2 linked regions of the Mytilus edulis genome follow. The protein of the gene in region 2 interacts with the protein of the main gene of each other region in a biochemical or structural test. Links are inferred from orthologs where the notes say so. Each region holds a gene or a part of one and is shown on either strand. Other genes may lie near its edges.

Region 1 (9,133 bases), on a different chromosome or scaffold from region 2:
AGGGGGGGTAGGAGGGGTCCTGATCCCGAAATCTCGGACTTAAAAACACAAAATCCTGAAATCCCAGGTTTAACATGTTTAAAAACACGAAATCACAAGGGTGTTAATCAGTCTATTAGTACTACATGTATAAGTATAGACTGTCTCTGGTTAAATAGTAAAAAACACACCCTTTTTAATTCTGAACTTGAAACCAGAGACAGAGGTGTGCCTTTGAAAGACAGGATCCTCATACAAGACAAGACTATGGCAGTTTTACGCTTTGGGGATTGTGTTCTTTTATTTCCTTACTTTGTATGTAGGACAATGTTTAATGTTTATGTTTAGTCGAGTTCATGATCAACGGTCTAATAATTTTCAGCTGATACAATCTCATTATCTGGTCTCCTTACAAAATTAAACCAGACCGAAACCTCTAAAAAAGAAACCCTTCACGGAGAGATAAAATCCGCATTTTCTGTTCATTTTCAAACTGTTTAAAAATTTATTACTGAGCATTTCAACGGCGGATATGAGGTTTTGAATGGGGTTAAATGATTAAAGAATAATGCCCTTAGAAAATGAAGATTAGAGAATAACGGGCAAAAAATGAAGATTAGAGAAATGCGTGGACTAATTTTTTTAAAATTAGAGAAAAAGGGGTTAATTTTTTGAAGATAAGAGAAAAAAGGGGTGAAAATTAAATGTTTACAGAATAACAGACCCCCCCCCCCCCCCATCCAGACAATCGGATATGGTAATCTAAAGGTGTTGTACGAAGTTGAAGTGCATGTTTCTGGCTGTCATCTTTATATAATGTCCCACAAAGGCAAGAATAACAAATAGAAACTAGAATTGCCATTGCAATAGAGGCCGGATGTCACCCTGGTCTGCAAATTGACACTTAACAGCAGCCATTTCGAAATTGTCCATCAGTGAATGCAGATTTTTGCATGACAACAGATATTTCTGTTTTAAATTCCAATGAATTTGGAGCATTTTGATATTTTTTGTGTTTTTGCTGTTTCCATGGTAACGGCCGCCATTTTAAAAATTCCAAAGTCAAACTACTGCTGCATATTGTTCTCTCTGCACGTCGTGTAGCTGGAATATATATACACACATGTACATAAAATGAGAGACAAAGGATACCAAAGGGACATGCATTCATTCCACATTGCTAAAAAGAAAGAAAAACATACAATACACAAAACACAACATATTAAACTAACTGAGACTGAGTAACAGGAACCACATCAAAAACTGTCTTGTTGCTCATGTTAGTACAAAACCGCTAATTATTAAGTCTGCATCGGTAGATCACATAGAACACTGATATAGCAGTCTCAGGGTGCACAAACTGATATTTGAAGCAACGATCATCAAAGTCCCAATGCAAGTATTGCTAAGCGCTGTCATACCTTCATGACATGTGGTATTTTCCTCACAAATAAGCCTGACATGAATTGCTTGGTTTGAATTCCTGATAACATAACTTGTGGATAAGTGTACTGATTTTATGACATCGTACCACAATTAAGGTTCCATACCACAAAAGGAAGATCGGCATTGATGATTTTCTTGACTGTTTAGGGATTAAGGTCCAAAGCGGGTCCACAAAAAAATTAAAACAAACATAACTCTTGTTTAAGGACAATAACTTGTGTAATGAAAGCAAATAAGAAACCCGTCGGCCCGATTTATAATACGTCGATATATATATATGGCATGCAGAAATCAAACGCAAACAGTGAATTACTGCCCCTGACTTTAGAGAGGCAAAAATAGAATGCAGCTGGATACAACAAAATTCGTTTTGTGTTCATGGTTGTGTTTCGTGATTTATGATCTCTACCGTGTCAAAACCTATGCAACTGTTTTGTTTTTACAGTTTACTCTGATGTTGTGTTTCCACACAATTGTTAACTGTCCAAGGATAAGGACCGGGTGCCAGGGTCCTCCACCATATTACGTACATGAGGGTACATATGTTTACCTCCCCATGCCCGCTACAGTTATATCTGCTTAGAGCAATAAAAACACATATATTGCCATGGCACGTTTACTTCAAAGAGACAGATTACATCACATGATAAATATGCATCATTATACAAAGGTACACAACTCTCACGTTTAAACTACAAAACACATACGACCATACATATACTTGATAACAAGGGTTAGTATAAGCTTAATGAACATGCAGTATGGGGTTTGTTCATCGTTTCAGGCGGTAGTAGTGTGACCTATAGCTATTGTTGCGTAGATCAACGTCAAGTTTGATTCTGGTGTTGTTGTTTTTTTAATTTGGAAAAATCCTGATTATTTGAACACGTGCAATCGGATATATAGTTATCAAAGGTACCAGGATTATAATTTAGTACGCCAGACGCGCGTTTCGTCTACATAAGACTCATCAGTGACGATCATATCAAAATATTTAAAAAGCCAAACAAGTACAAAGTTGAAGAGCATTGAAGATCCAAAATTCCAAAAAGTTGTGCCAAATACGGTTAAGGTAATTTATGCCTGGGATGAGAAAATCCTTAGTTTTTCGAAAAATTCAAAGATTTGTAATCAGGAAAAACACTCTTATCTTCATTTCTTTAGTCTTGTAATTTTTATGTAATTTTTCTATATTCTAATACACATTGACCATTTTTCTCTACTCTTTATATTATTACACTTTTTTCATTTCTTTATTTTTTGGCCCCTTTTTTCTCTTTTCCTAATATCTTGGTCCATGATTTTTTTCTGTAGATTTTGCCAGCCATTATCCGCTATCCTGTTAACCCATGTAGACTTTCATATATTTTCAACGTTTTTTTTTTTAACGAGATTTATTTTGTCACGTGCAAAGATTCATGGGATTAATCGGATGTGTGATAAAAAATCTGCTAAATGTGCGAAAATATCATTTATTCAGATATCAGTACTTCCCTATCAATTTTTAAACTATTGCTCTTGAAGAGGAACAATGAGATTGGATTTGAATTTTACATTCTTGTACTGAGTAATTGAATGGCTGCGGTAACAGACTGGCTTTAATTTGGTAAGGCTTTATTAAAAATATACATTATACATTGTAGTATAATATAGATATGTCTATGTACTCGTACGTCATGAAAGGTCATGTATACCAAAGTAGGGCTTGATCAAATGAATTTGCGACACTTTGGAACATTATATAAACCATATATATCATGTATATAGCCTTAATGAAGACTTTTTGAAAGTATTTATATTATATATACTTGCGGATGCATATCCTGGACTCAGAAAATAGTGTGTGTGTGGGGGGGGGGGGAGGGGGTCGTAAAGCAGGCAATTTTAGAAGAAGGACATGTAAATATGTAAATGGCCTATGCATTAACCTCATATGTAGCCGGCTCCATAAGTAGTGGGCTACATTATCACATCCCATACAGAGACGGATTTAGGGGGAGGGCAGGGGAACCCCCCTTTTTTGAGAAAATGTTTGGTTGCTTATATAGGGAATCACTGAAGCGTGACTGGAGCGGCCCCCCCTCTTAGGCAGTCAGTGGGCCCCCACTTATAAATATTTCTGGATCCGCCACTGCCCTTAATCCGCTTGAAAATTATATTATACGAGTTTCTTATACAGTTTGTTCCTAATTTTGTCATTTTTTTTTAATTTAAGGGAGACGGATTTTTTCTTGTTTTCGAATGCCACTGCCCAGTATCTCTATTTTGTATAATTATATTTCGTGCAGTTTATGAAAAATAAAATATTGTTTAAACTAAATCCGCTTATAATTTACTAAAAACGACTAGCAAGAATAAATAGTACCTCCTTTTCAACCATGGTCGATGGTGGTTATGATTTGCCTTCACATCCCACCTTACTATTTTTTCCGTTAATATATCAATTAACGGGCGGCGGACTCTGAATATATGATAGTTCATACTATCGTTACTACAATCCCGTACCCTTTTCAAGAAGGTCACCCTCCGTATTAATTCTTACTGTGTTTGTATTAACATGAGCAACACGACGGCTGCCACATGTGGAATAGGATCTGCTAAATTACCCTTCCGGAGAAGCTGAGATCACCTAAGTTTTGGTTGGGTTCGTGTTGCTAGATGCGTTATAGTTCTCTATGTTGTGTTTTGTTTTCTATTGTTTGTCTTCTGTTCTCTTTGTCGAGCCTTCGACAACTGTCGAAAAAGCGAAACATGAAGCGAACCTACATTCCGTCGTCGGCGTTGTCGTCGTCGAGTCACATATTCACGGTGTGCATGGTTAGCGGTTTTTGAAATTTTAATAACTTTCTTAAACTATCCTGGATTTCTACCGAACTTGTGGATAGACTTTGTTAATATTCATAACACAGTATCCAAAAGTAAATTCTGTAAAAAAAATCATCCTATTTTGAATTCCGTATTTTACTTATAGATAGACTTAGTTTTTCTGCCAGGAAACATTACATTCACTCTGTGGTTAATGTTTTTAAAATTTTAATACTTTCTTAAACTATCCTGGATTTGTACCAAACTTGAACAGAAACTTGTTTATGATCAAATGCTAGTATCTAGAAGGAAATTTGGTTAAAATTTTGTTCTTGTTAAAAATGTTTTTCCATACTTTACTTAAAAATGGACTTAGTTTTTCTTCCATTTTACATTACATAGTCTGCAGTTAAAGTTTTAAAAACATTTATTAGATTCACAAACTATATATATATAGATTTCCTTGATTTTTACCAAACTTGAACAGAACTCTTACAATTAAAAGATAGACTAAAATATCTAGAGGAAAACAGTTTTTCGAATTTTTTGTTGAACTTGCGACTACCAGCAAAAGTAGGCGAGACACTGGGTTCGACGGAACCCTTAAAAATTAGAAAATTAGTTAAGGGTTAAATTGAAGTTCCTATTAATACAACGATTCAATAAGGTCGAATTATCGAGTTATACTTGCAAGTGAATCAGTCAATATTTCTTTAGTGATTGAACAAAACTGAAAAAAAATCACATATTTTAGTGTTAATTGTTTTTTTTAATACTATCATCGTATATATCATGTATCTTATTATTTTGCCAATTTGAACCATACTGGTAGAAGCGAAATATTATTTCACTATTTAACTTTCATTAGTGATTGAACAAAACTGAAAAAAATCACATATTTTAGTGTTAATTGTTTTTTTTAATACTATCATCGTATATATCATGTATATATCGTAGCAAGTGCATGCTCCTTTAAGATCCTTTAACTGTTTAATGTCAGTTTGGTATATTTTATGACTTTATTCTTTATACTTTTGCTTTTAATATTGCAATGCTATTTTTGTATTGTGTATGATAAATGACTTTAAAAATATTTGTACATGTTTAACTTTTGGTTTGAACCATTGGAGGAATTGATTATAAATATAAAAAAAATAATGGCCCCCTTTCTCTCTGCAATGTGCCCCTTCGAATAAACAATTTAAAACGGAAGTAAACTTAACGACATCAGCGAATATTTGTAAATGGTTTGGTTTGAATAATTCGAGGAAGCGATTAAAAATATACGATGAAAATGATGCCCCCCATTTCCCCTGCAAGGTGCCCCTTCAAATAACAACAAATTAAAACGGAAGTAAACTTAACGACATCAGCGCAGGCGTATTAGTTTATTTTGATTTTACTCGCGCCATGAAAAAATAAATAAATTAAGCATGAATTAAAAATGATGACTTAACAATTGATCGTTGCTCGGGTAAGTAATCAATAATAACCTGATGTTAATGAGGAGATAATTTCCACACCTGAAGTTTCATTGATTAAGTAAAATGGAGCCGGCAAATGGCCTCCAGAAGCTGGCACCAGTCTGTCTGGCTATGACATAGTATGCTGGGAGTGGGGACATGATTAACATACGAGGCCATATTTTTTTTTATTTTTTAATTTTTGTATTAAGTCTGCTGTTCTTTGTTCTTACTTGTTCAGGTGTAAACAAAGCATGCACATGGCATAGATTTGATGCATAGTTTATTTGGAAATTATTATCTGCTTGTTGATTATTCTGAAAGTATAAATAAAGAATTGTATAAAAAAATAAATTAATTAAAATAAATATTGATGGATTCAAAGGAATAAAAATTTATTAAAAAAATATTTGAGGAACAAGTGGTAATTGAAAAGAAATATGAATTATCAAAAATAAACAAACATGTTTTAAACTTTTAAAAGTTTTATTGTTATTTAATTATATGTCTGTATTTTTCTGTTACATGTAAAACCAATTGATAAGACAGTAACCCTTTACAGTCATGATACTTAGTACCATCTTGTAGGACCGAGTGCGGAAGAAATCTTTTTACCCAAGAACGATACCAGACTTCATTGCCCTACCTCATACTGCCACCAATGCAGGTAGTCTTGAATGCTTCAAGACTTCCCTACATAAGATGAACTAGAACAAATCCAAGATGTTTTTAAATTCACTGTATATATGATGTACATGTATCATGTGTATAGCAAAAATTCAAATCAACTAATACTTATTTCTTGTCTAAATTTTAAATGTGCATCCAAAAGTGGCAAAATAATTAACTTATTGATGGTAGCAGCGTATTTGTAGAAGTAGTGGACAACTTTTAAATGCATGAGATTTCTGACATGCTTCTGCTATCCCAGTGTTATGGACCAATAACTCTAGAGGTCCTTTCTATATTTTATCGTTGGCTTCAATCTACATGTATAATACACCTTAAATATTGCTCAGGTTATGAAATTAGCAGCAATGGCCCCTAAAATTTGGTTTGGGCTACTCAAATTTCGGCTTTTCTTATATATGACTATCTATGTTGGCTACAACATTTAAGCTGTGGACTATCATTGCCAAAGTCTTTAAGTTTTAACCCTGTAATGCTACATGTATTTGTCCACCAATACCAAACATCACAAAAGTTCCATAAAAATTTTGACATCACAATTATACCTGTAGGTGACCATAGTGACCATACTGCTTTCAACACTAGGTAAACCCATACCATATTCTATCATGAAAGCCCTGAAATGACAACTGTAAAACAATTCAAATAAGAAAACTAACAGCCTGATTTATATACACAAAATAATGAACGAAAAACAATAAAAAAACAAATGTGATATTTGTGAGGCATAAATTTAAAACAAATGACAGCTTCTGATTTTCTTTTATAACTTTCAGACTAAGGAACATCGATAAACCCCATGGGGTCCTAGGCTCCAACATCAGCTGATGCCTGTTTTAGTATTGTTCACAGCCGAATGTGCCATACATGAATAGAGCTTATGTTTGTCCCTTTGAATAATAAATATACTGCCTCTTGGTAAAGCTTTTTCATTTATTATTTATAATAATTCTCTTAAAATCAGAGCCAGTGTACTGTTATCTTGCTAAGAAATCAGTTGAAAAAAATATTTGCCTTTCTTTGGTACAAAAATGTTCCTACATTGTACCCTATTTTTTTTCAGCATTAAATTCATGCCTAAAAATCATGTAGAGTTAGAAAAATTACCAAATCTAACTTTCTTTTATAACTTTCAGACTAAGGAACATAGTTAAACCCCATTACCACCATGGGGTCCCAGGCTCCAACATCAGCCGATGCCTGTTTAAGTATTGTTCACAGCCTAATGTGCCATAGGCAAGGAGGAGAGAGTGAAAGCTTTGCCAAACGGGCCATTGAAAGCTTGGTGAAAAAACTGAAAGAGAAAAGGGATGAATTGGACAGTTTGATCACAGCTATTACAACCAATGGTGCACATCCTTCTAAATGTGTGACAATCCAGCGGACATTAGATGGGAGACTTCAGGTATAAAATTTGTAAACATACATTTGTACATATACATGTACATGAAAAAGGTTATTTATGTATTATTGTCATTTTGTTTATTTTCTTTAGTTACATCTTCTGACATCAGACTTGAACTTCTCTTGAACTGAATTTTAATGTGTGTATTTTTATGTGTTTACTTTTCTGCATTGGCTAGAGGTATAAGGGGAGGGTTAAGATCTCATAAACATGTTTAACCCCACCACATTTTTGCGCCTGTCCCAAGTCAGGAGCCTCTGGCCTTTGTTAGTCTTGTATTATTTTTATGCAGTTAAGCTGCATTATGCGAGCACCCTAGATTTGTGTTCTACCCAATAAATGCTGAAATACTTGCCATTGTCATTATCTAGCTTGCTACTAGTACTATGTTATATATAACTAATTGAACACTTTTTTAATACTTTTTATTCTGGATTACAAAAAATATGACTAGAAAAACCTTAAATGATCGTCGATTTATCTAAAAGTTTTGAAGTTACACATAGGAAGTAGTGCTTATCAAGAATCCTTGTGTAGTTCATTATGACTTGTGCTTTTGGCCAGATGTCAAAGAACAATTGTATGAAATATTTAATCGCCGAAAATATCTTAAGACAAGCAGTTTAGATTTCCCAAATGGCAAAAGTCGTAGGAATATTGTTTGTCATCAATACGTCAGTAGTCTATTATATAATAAGTTCAACTGTTCGTGCTGTTTGCGGCAATTTCAAATTAGAAAAAGAAATTTTCGTATCTTTTTAATTTGGAGGCAGGTGTGCAAATTAGCGGTGGTCCGAGGTCCGCGACCTTCCACTTTTGCAAGCGGAATTTCGACTAGGATAGTTAGTTTCTAGGTACGCCCGACGTAGTCGCCTTCCACTTGAAAGAAAATAAGAATTAACTTTGCAAACCTTTTCACCATGTTCACCAGTCTCCAATTGAACGAGCTAAAAACTTATTTTTGTCATTATTCATAACAGCGATGTTCATTTTGTTCAACCGCTAGATTTATACAGAAAATCGCCGACAAATATTGTATAAATTCGAGTAAAATCGTATCTGATTGACGAAAACAACATTGTAAACACATAACAATGGCGGCCGTGAAGACAAAATTTTACAATATCGGATCCGATTCCGGAAGTGGATAAGGGTAATTCCGGGTTTGGCGATCAATTACAAAATAAATCCAAACAGGTGAAAAAATACATCTATGCATGGTAAATGAATATAAACACTTGAATTGTAAATCAAAAGATATATGTAAAAGAAAGAAAAAGCACCTGGGAATAGTATATCTAAGAATATACATGTTCATGTTCACAGTCTAAATCAGTCATAAATG
Region 2 (8,879 bases):
ATAGTCCTAATCTATGATTATGTCATGTATGTGCAACATGAGCATTACCAAAGTACACAGTTCATTACAATGTTTGCTGTATATCATCATAGAAAAGTTACATAATACATAAGTCATTATACTTATATATAGTACAAAAAAAAGTATGTGTGTTTCATCCTTGAGATAACCTTGTACACTGACACTGTCACTATATATAGGGTATATAGGTACAAATTCTTTTTTATTTTTACATTTGTACTTTACAAAATTTAAGTATCATTCTGATACCTGTAATTTTGTAGTGACTGATCTACCATACATGTATTAAAGTGGCAATTATAATTTAAGGCCAAGGGTAGACATTTTGAGGCATAAAAATAATGCTTCAACAAGGAAACACATTCAAACCACAAATATTTTTTACTGTTGGTCTACATGTAATTTGTTTAAAAAAAATTAAAGTGGCAATTATGATTTAAGGCCAAGGGTAGACATTTTGAGGCATAAAAATAATGCTTCAATAAGGAAACACATTCAAACCACAAATATTTTTTAGTGTTGGTCTACATATAATTTGTTTAAAAAAAAATTAAAAAGTGTCAAAACATGTAAATATATTCAATCATATCGTAAATCAATGCCATACACCTACATGTACATGGAATCTGGGTCCGTTCGCGCCCATTCACGTTCGCACCCGATCACGTTCGCGCCCTTTCACTTTCGCACCCAACACGTTCGCGCCCAAGTTTTATTGGTATTGTGTTTGATAACTTTATAACCAAGTTTTGGCAAGTGTATTCATATTAGTATATTTGTTGTCATTGTCTCAAAATAAAGTGAGACAACGTGTTTTTTGTGTTGAATAAATCTTAATCTTGTTTTGCCGGATAGTGTATTGTTAAAATATTTTTAATCATTTAAATAAAGTGAGATTCTGACGACCGGGATTTTCGGGTGGAATAAATCTTAAATATTAATCAATTTTGGTTAGTGTATTGCTATAATTTTTTATTTAATTGTTTCAGATCAAAGGGACCAATCTGTTAAAAAAAATTATCTTTTGTGTTTTTCATTTAAAATTTTCAATGTTTTACTCATACGAAGCTAAATAATTGCATTATTTACACCAAGGCAATTTAAAACAACAATCATGATTTTCTAATTATTCAACTGGAACTTGATTTTAAATTGGGTGCGAACGGACCTTGGGTGCGAACGTGCGAGGTGCGAACATGTAGGATGCGAAAGTGTATTGGGCGCGAACGGACCTGATACCATGTACATGTAGCTTACTATCAAACATACATATTATCTTTAAATTTAAAATTTATCAATCTTCAAATAAATTCACATGTATTTAAATTTTATTTTAAGTTTTCTTTTCAACATTGATTTTTGAATAATTGTGATAAATATGAGACTTTTTGAGAGTAGAGTTTGTAAAACATGGGACCACAGTCTTTTTTATTAACAAGCCTACATGTACATATCCCACCATTAAAATTTTCGCTAAAAAGATACCAGGAAAACCATAAGCTATATCAACTCAAAGATGATTTTAAGGATTTTTGAGAAGACTGACTTGGTGTATTGGGAATTCTTTAGAATAGATGTATATGTACATTGTAAGTGCTTTTCAATTGTTCTTTTTGAAAAACACAAGTTTAACTAAAAAATATATCCGGGATCCAAAGAAAATATTACATGTAATTAAATCAAAAAATCTGCAACAGCTGAGACAGATGGTTTAAAACTACTAAACAAACAGTATGTTACTACAGTAGTAGTAGTTATAAATAATGTACATGTAGTTTTAAGAAATCAATGTTTACGACGTTTAGTGAAATTTAAACAGATTTGACAAAACTACTGTCAGATTTGGATTCCCCGTTTCATAAATAACGATTGACAGCATTCATGATAAACCTTTGAAAGTTTTGAGTCCACACACCTGAAGCACAATTTTTTGAGAATTTAAGTTGGATTATGTTGGCTTGAAGAGAAGAATTTTACATTTTACATTTTACGTAGGACTTGTGGTTAAGCGTAAAGACTAGATTGATCAGTATCTTAAAATTCAAATAACTAACCTGCTTTCGTTTATATTTCTTTGAAGTATCGAATCTTGACTTCATGTACTGCAATACTTCTTTCACTCGATCACGGTTTTCTTGATCTTTAGCCAACAATAAATAAGATCTCCAATGTGATGAATCAAATCCCCAATGACAAGTTCTGTTTTCCAGCGCTTTATGAGAATGACGAACAAATTCACTTGGTGAAAATGAGCCCATACAGTCAACACACTGAATACATTTGGCAATGGGTTCCACATACATCTCAGGACTAAAGATCCCTTTACATTTCCCGAAACATTCATGATAAACTTTAAAGCTGTCCCGTGTAGGGGGCTCAGAACATTTAGCAGGTGCCCTATGAAGTAGTGCATTGCACAATCTTTCAGCGTCAGTTTTTGTAAGAAGTCCACAACTCGGTGCCCCTAATGGAAGAATCCCTGTCATTTTTAATGTATGAAGCTGTTCAGGATTACACCGTGAACAAAAAATATGAAGTTCGTCACACACAGCATTTATTTGCTGTAAACTAAAATCCCTCAGAACCGTATTTAGAATCTGTGGTAAACACAACCTTTTTTCACCTCCAACTTCAAAACAAGCAATGGTTTCGGTTTCTAACAATGTATCCGTTTTTTCACTTTTAGTAGCATCCACGGGTGCAAATACTGGAAATTGTTGCACTGGGAAGGGCGGAGGTCCTCTTAGAGGGTCGTACTCCAAACCCTTTTCCGGAAGTTTTTTAAGTGCTTTACGGTATTCCTCAATGTCACTTGGTGAAAGAAATCCAGCGGGACCAGGGCCTTGTAAACTCCGCATGGCTGATGTTTGAAAGTTTTTGATAACCCTCTCTACATGAGGGTTAACAACTTGTGATCTAAGATGTTCCATTAAATAATTGTCACATTCGAAATAAAATTCCGTTTAACGTTCCTCTCCGTTACTTAGTTCAAGCAATACACACATACGTCTAACGTCTCCCCACTGTCGGCAGTTGATAACAAACTGAAATACTTGGCTGTTCCGTTAATCAGTCCTACTACTACGATTACGCGATAGTAGTTATAAAGTTCAATAAAGGTCGATATTATAAGGAACAACTGTAGAGAATAATTTCTTTATTTTATGATGTTTAACATCTGTCAATATTTTAAGGATAGTCGAAGCTTTTTAATATACAAAAACAATAGACATTGTTGATTATACATAACACGGTCTGCCGATCCGTTGACTTCCCACTTCAATGACTTGTATGCATATTTATATGCATATCTTGCGCTTAAAACTTGTTTTGCAACCAGATAATTAGAATACAGTTTAGTTTTCAATTTATTGATATATAACGGATTATATGAATGTTAATTATGAATCATCTCAAGATGAAATAAAGGTGTATTAAAATGGTCATTGATCGTTCGACCGTCTGGCGCTTTGGTAAATTGACATTAAAGTCGTCTCGACTATATGTCCGCGCTGACGTCATACGTCTGCAGAATCAACTATAGTCTGTTTCAAAATAGAGATATTGGAAATTCCGCGACTGTTGAATAATCAATGCTACTGATTACTTCTATAGTTTTAATGGTTTACTTTATTAAGTTTTCACCAACAGAAAAGTTTATGGGATTTTTTCAACAAGTTTGAACTAAAATTGTTTGTTTTTAGAATTGAACTTAAGTATCAATATGATTTTTTTAGAAATTGAAATTAAGTATCAATATGATTAAAATTAACACAACATTATACTGACAAATGGGATAACATTTTCTAATTTTTTTTTAATAAGACAATTTTTTTCTTTTAGCTTTTTGATAACATACAAAAACCAAGATTGAAAATCAATGTTGAACATTTTTTTTTCTTTTTTTTTTTTCGAAATATACAATGCCATCAAAAGTGCTATTTTTTTCACAGCCATTCTGTTTATATTTTTTCCTTCAATTTTTTTCTTTATTAAATAACACGGAATAAAATCATCTTACATCCAACTCCCCCCCCCCCCCCCCCTTTTCCCCCCGTATAAAAAAAATGTACAGGCGTTTGGGATCGATCCCCCTTTTTTATATATTTTTTTGTCCTAGAGTGACGTTAAATAAATAAACTACTTTTATTGCTCTTATTGGAATATGGTATGGATAAGAGAATGAACACATTGGATCTGTGAAAATCATATAGAAATTTAAAAACGTTTACTTGAATTTATGTTTTAAAACAGTTTAAAAAAACGAGGACATTCCCACTGCCGCTTGTGCCGTTGAGGACCATATACTTGTGTTTTCTATCTTATGTATTTTGTTATTCTTTGTTTTTGGGTTGCTGTCTCGTATAACCAGCATATAGTCTTTTTATTCGTATATTTATTAGAGATATCATGTATTTTACGGATCATTTTAATAATATTGACATGTTTTTAAACACTGCATGTGTGTATACATTTTGTTGCCTGGTCGTGTTTCTACAGCAGATGTGAGAGGTTATGTCCCTTTCTAAAGATGCGGTAATTTTGTAACATGTGTAAAAACTATCTCATTTTGAATTTCTGAATTGAAATACCGTCGAAACAGATGTTTTTTGTTCCTCTCGAGGTTCTATCCGTTATAGACACGAGGAGACGTGTTTTTAATATGCCTCTAAAGTACGGTATATTAATAAGCAAGCTAGTTTGTACTGACGTCACCGTTGAATATAATTTTGACACGTTATGGCATATATTAGGGTTTTTTTGGGGGGTAAAAAACATAATCATGCTTCAAACCGTCGATTACGAATATAAGATTTCGACTTCATGGCTTAATTTTGAATGAAGAACATTTATCTGGATAGATATTATTGATTGGTGGATCCAGAAAGAAGGAGGGGAAGGGGTCCTTTTTCATATTTTTTTTTTAATAACGTGATATTTTATGGTGTTTAAAACCTGTTTATTTTTCAAAATGTCACGATCCGCGCATGTCATAAGACGTATGCCCATAATTAAAAGAAAAAAGAGGAGCTTTAAGATGCTTTAATGTTGTGCTTCTAGAATCTTGATTTGCTTTACATGTCACATTGATCATATTATATGGGTATATGAAAAGACAATATAATTGACTTGGGTACTCAAGTTATTAAATGCTGCTCCTATAACCATTGTCATTTTTATTTTTTTTTATTAATTTTAACTTTTTGTGTAGCGTTTAGAAATGTTGTATGAAAAAAGGGACACTTGGGAAATAGCACCCCTTCACTGTGTTTGTTGAATACTCGTACGAGGAAGACACACTCCTAACAGGTTTGATGAATTATCATCATACAATTAACTGAAAGCACCGGCTCGGTGGTCTCCTTGTACCTAGCAAGTTCGCCTTTAGGTACATTGATTCGGTCAACCATAAACTTAAGAATTGTTATATTCTGCTCATCCACTAAGCATGTGTCATTTAAGAGCAAGATTCTTGCCAAAAAGCTGTTGAAAAAATGTCCAGGTGGATTAATTTGTCTAATGTGAACGAGCACATTAACAATCCAACTCATTTTATTATTCTTGTTAAAAGTTGAGTTTATATCGCATTGGTCTTTCATGCATTATTTTGTTCACAAATCAGGCCGTTAGTTTTCTCGTTTGAATTGTTTTACTATTGTTATTTTGGGACCTTTTATCGCTGACAATGTTTTGTTCATTGTTGAAGGCCGAACGATGACCTATAGTTGTGAAACTGTATGTAATTTGGTCTCTTGTTGAGACTTTTCTCATTGACGATCATACCACAGTTTCATATTTTAATATTTGTATTCAAATCATCGCATTAACATGCATGTTCCTGTCCTCAATTTGCATTTAATTTGCCACTGGACATTAACTATCCATCTATCATCATCATCATCTACAATTGAAGTAAATCGGCAGTATTTATGAGAGGCTTTAAGTGTTTAAAATCGTCAGCCCATCTATTGAAGAAGATCTGAACAGTGTTAACCAAATATTTGACAAACAGTGTAAAATAAAAGACAAGAGAAATTAAGAAATGTAAAATTAAAAAGATTAGGGAATAATGGTGTGCTAAAATATTAAGAATATCGAGAATAATGGACAATCTAATTAAAGAAAGTAGAGAAAAATTGGTCTAAAAAATTAAAGAATATAGAAAAAATGCTCTAAAAAAAAATAAAGCATATAGAAATAAATGGTATCAAAAATTAAAGAATATAGATATGAAGGACCCCATTCAGACCCACATCTAATGAAAAAGCTACCCATCATTTTAACTGTATTATTTAGTTTATCACGACGTTTTTTTTCATTAGTTTAAAAAAAAAAATGTAAAAACTATAATTTTAAGTTCTTCTGGTATATAAGGAAGAAGATCGACGGAAATATAAAAACAGATCGTCAAATAGATTTGTACTGCGCAGTTAGTACCCATAGGAATTCGGATATTTTGATGACATATATTATTCCCATAACTAACAAACATACTGTCAAGCAATACATTTTAAGCCTTGATCATGTCTGCGGATTTCCAAGAACAATGCATTTTATTTCTTTTATGTCTAAAGAAATTATAACAACGGATGTATTCAAGACCTGCTTCCTTCCTCCAATTAGTTTACCAATATTATTTTTGACCAGGTTGTGAGGAATAGTGGTGCATACGAACCTATGAAAAACTAATAATGCTTAGCTGGGAAAAAAATTACTGAGAAATAGCTTCGAAAACCCACGTCCTACTAAGATTTGAATTAGATTATTATTTTTTTTTCAAAATTCTTTCATTGATGGTAAATAGTAAGGTTTTGGAAAAAATGATTCGGATTTATATACCAAATTAGTTTTGTGAAGGTATCGAAAACATGCTTGGTTGATAGATTGTTTATAAGGTCATAGGCGGATCTAGGGGTTGATTTAATAGGGAATCCCTGAAGAATGACTTTGGGATCCGCCACTGAAAGTGATTCAGATCAGCTTAACCATTCTTGTCTTTATCATGGCTGCCAGTTTTTAGTTGGCAGAGGAAGCTGGAGTACCAGGCCTAGAGATCCGCCGATTTTATTCTCTCCAAAAAGGACATTATTTGCATGTTAAACCGACTTTCTCTCGGCCTTAAAGTGATGATTAGGCTGCTTTTAAAAAAAAAAGTTTTCTCTATTGTCCGTTGTGCGCTATTTTCCTTCTTGTAATATAAACCCCTATCTAATGTTGAAGACAGTATATTGACATGAAGATTTCTTATGAATTTTGTCGAAAAAATAACAAGAAACGTTGTCTCTCAGATTTTTTTTGTTTCAGCGTAGTTCTGGGAAACGATTGATTTCAGATTTTCAGGAACATACTTTTTTCCAGATGGAACGATTTTCTAGTCATCGGACCACCTGTAGACTATAACGTTTATTTGTGTATTTCAATGTTAATCAATTAACACCGTACGACACAGCTGAGACAACAAGTCGAATTGTCACCTGGAAGGGTCTGGTCAAGTGGTCAAATCCAGTCTTCGCATGATAGTGCGTCACAGGAATATACTGATTTATTTAAGAACTGTGTTTTGCGTCAGAAATTCAACTTTTACTAATTCGTAGATAGTTTTCAATGTTTTTTAATTAACACCATACGACACAGGGGCGATGGCAAATTCGAATTATCATATAGCATGATCACCAACTAGTCAAATCCAGTCTTCATATGCCAGTGATTCGCTGCAGTTAGTATTGGTTTATTTCGGAACCAAGCTTTGTATCAGAACCTCGGTTTTAACGCACGTCTGGCGTATTAAATTATAATCCTGGTACCTTTGATAACTATTAATTTGTAAATAAAAATCTATTTTCAGAACTTTTTTGTTTTATTTTGATAATTTTTGAAAAAGAGATAGTACAATGTAAAAGTTATTAACACCTTCACAGAGGATTTCAGATTTCATAAGGAAATATCCTTTATCAGTATTTTACATAAAATGAGCCGTCAGGCAAACATAGGCGGATCCAAGAGGGGGGTGCTTTCGTTGTAAAAAAAATGGTTGATTATATAGGGAATCACTGAAGCATAACTGGAGCGCCCCCCTCTTTGGGTCAGTCAGCGCCCTCTTACAAAAAGTTCTGGATCCGCCACTGGGTTATGGCGCACTGATCTTTGTCCCCTCTTAAGCCCGACTAACAATTATATTTTAGCGGGGTGTGCTGATTTTAACATTGATTCAGAGTAAGCGTTTCCTGAATCTCAATGTTACAGCGTTACACATTGATTTTCAGGAGAGAAAAACGGCGAATACACCCGATAACACCATTTGTGTATAAAACCCTATTAAAAATACGTGCAAGTTAAGAAAGGAATGTATCTCCCTCGTGCAAAGCTCTGATTCCTTTCACGGATTTGGCTATACTTTTTGGACCTTTTGGATTATAGCTCTTCATCTTTTATGTAAGCTTTGGATTTCAAATATTTTGGCCACGAGCATCACTGAAGAGACATGTATTGTCGAAATGGGCACTAGTGTGGATCTAGCCGGCGTTAATATTCATGAGGCTAGCCGTCAATAATATTCATGAGATCAAAACCGCGTTCGATGAAATATTTTGGGTAGTTATTAGATTGTGACAATAAAATAACTTTTGCTGTTAATATCCAATATGGTTATGCTATTTATAGCAATATAAAGTAATTAGGAAATAGTAAGCCAATAGGTGTCTCCTGCAAGGTCCGCGTCATTTAAAATGAAAGTAAATGAAAAGTTTAATTGCATTGCCTCACACAACACAAAACAATTATGAACATTAAAATGTTGTTATTATTGAATCAATGTAAACTATAGTAATTAAAACAAGATGATTAAATATAGGGTAATT

The links.
Region 1: the proteins of ski oncogene-like (region 2) and mothers against decapentaplegic homolog 4-like form a complex in vitro, tested with the Homo sapiens proteins (3 studies listed by BioGRID and IntAct, with this or other methods). The link is inferred for Mytilus edulis from reciprocal best matches to the Homo sapiens genes SKI and SMAD4.

What each region holds. Positions count from the first base shown.
Region 1 is NC_092354.1:20,862,943-20,872,075, reverse strand, and holds the start of mothers against decapentaplegic homolog 4-like, read left to right. Parts: upstream 1-5,592; 5' UTR 5,593-5,704; intron 5,705-7,519; 5' UTR 7,520-7,551; coding exon 7,552-7,788; intron 7,789-9,133. UniProt on the Homo sapiens protein: In muscle physiology, plays a central role in the balance between atrophy and hypertrophy. When recruited by MSTN, promotes atrophy response via phosphorylated SMAD2/4.
Region 2 is NC_092356.1:29,700,431-29,709,309, reverse strand, and holds the start of ski oncogene-like, read right to left. Parts: upstream 3,497-8,879; 5' UTR 2,952-3,496; coding exon 2,076-2,951; intron 1-2,075. UniProt on the Homo sapiens protein: May play a role in terminal differentiation of skeletal muscle cells but not in the determination of cells to the myogenic lineage. Functions as a repressor of TGF-beta signaling.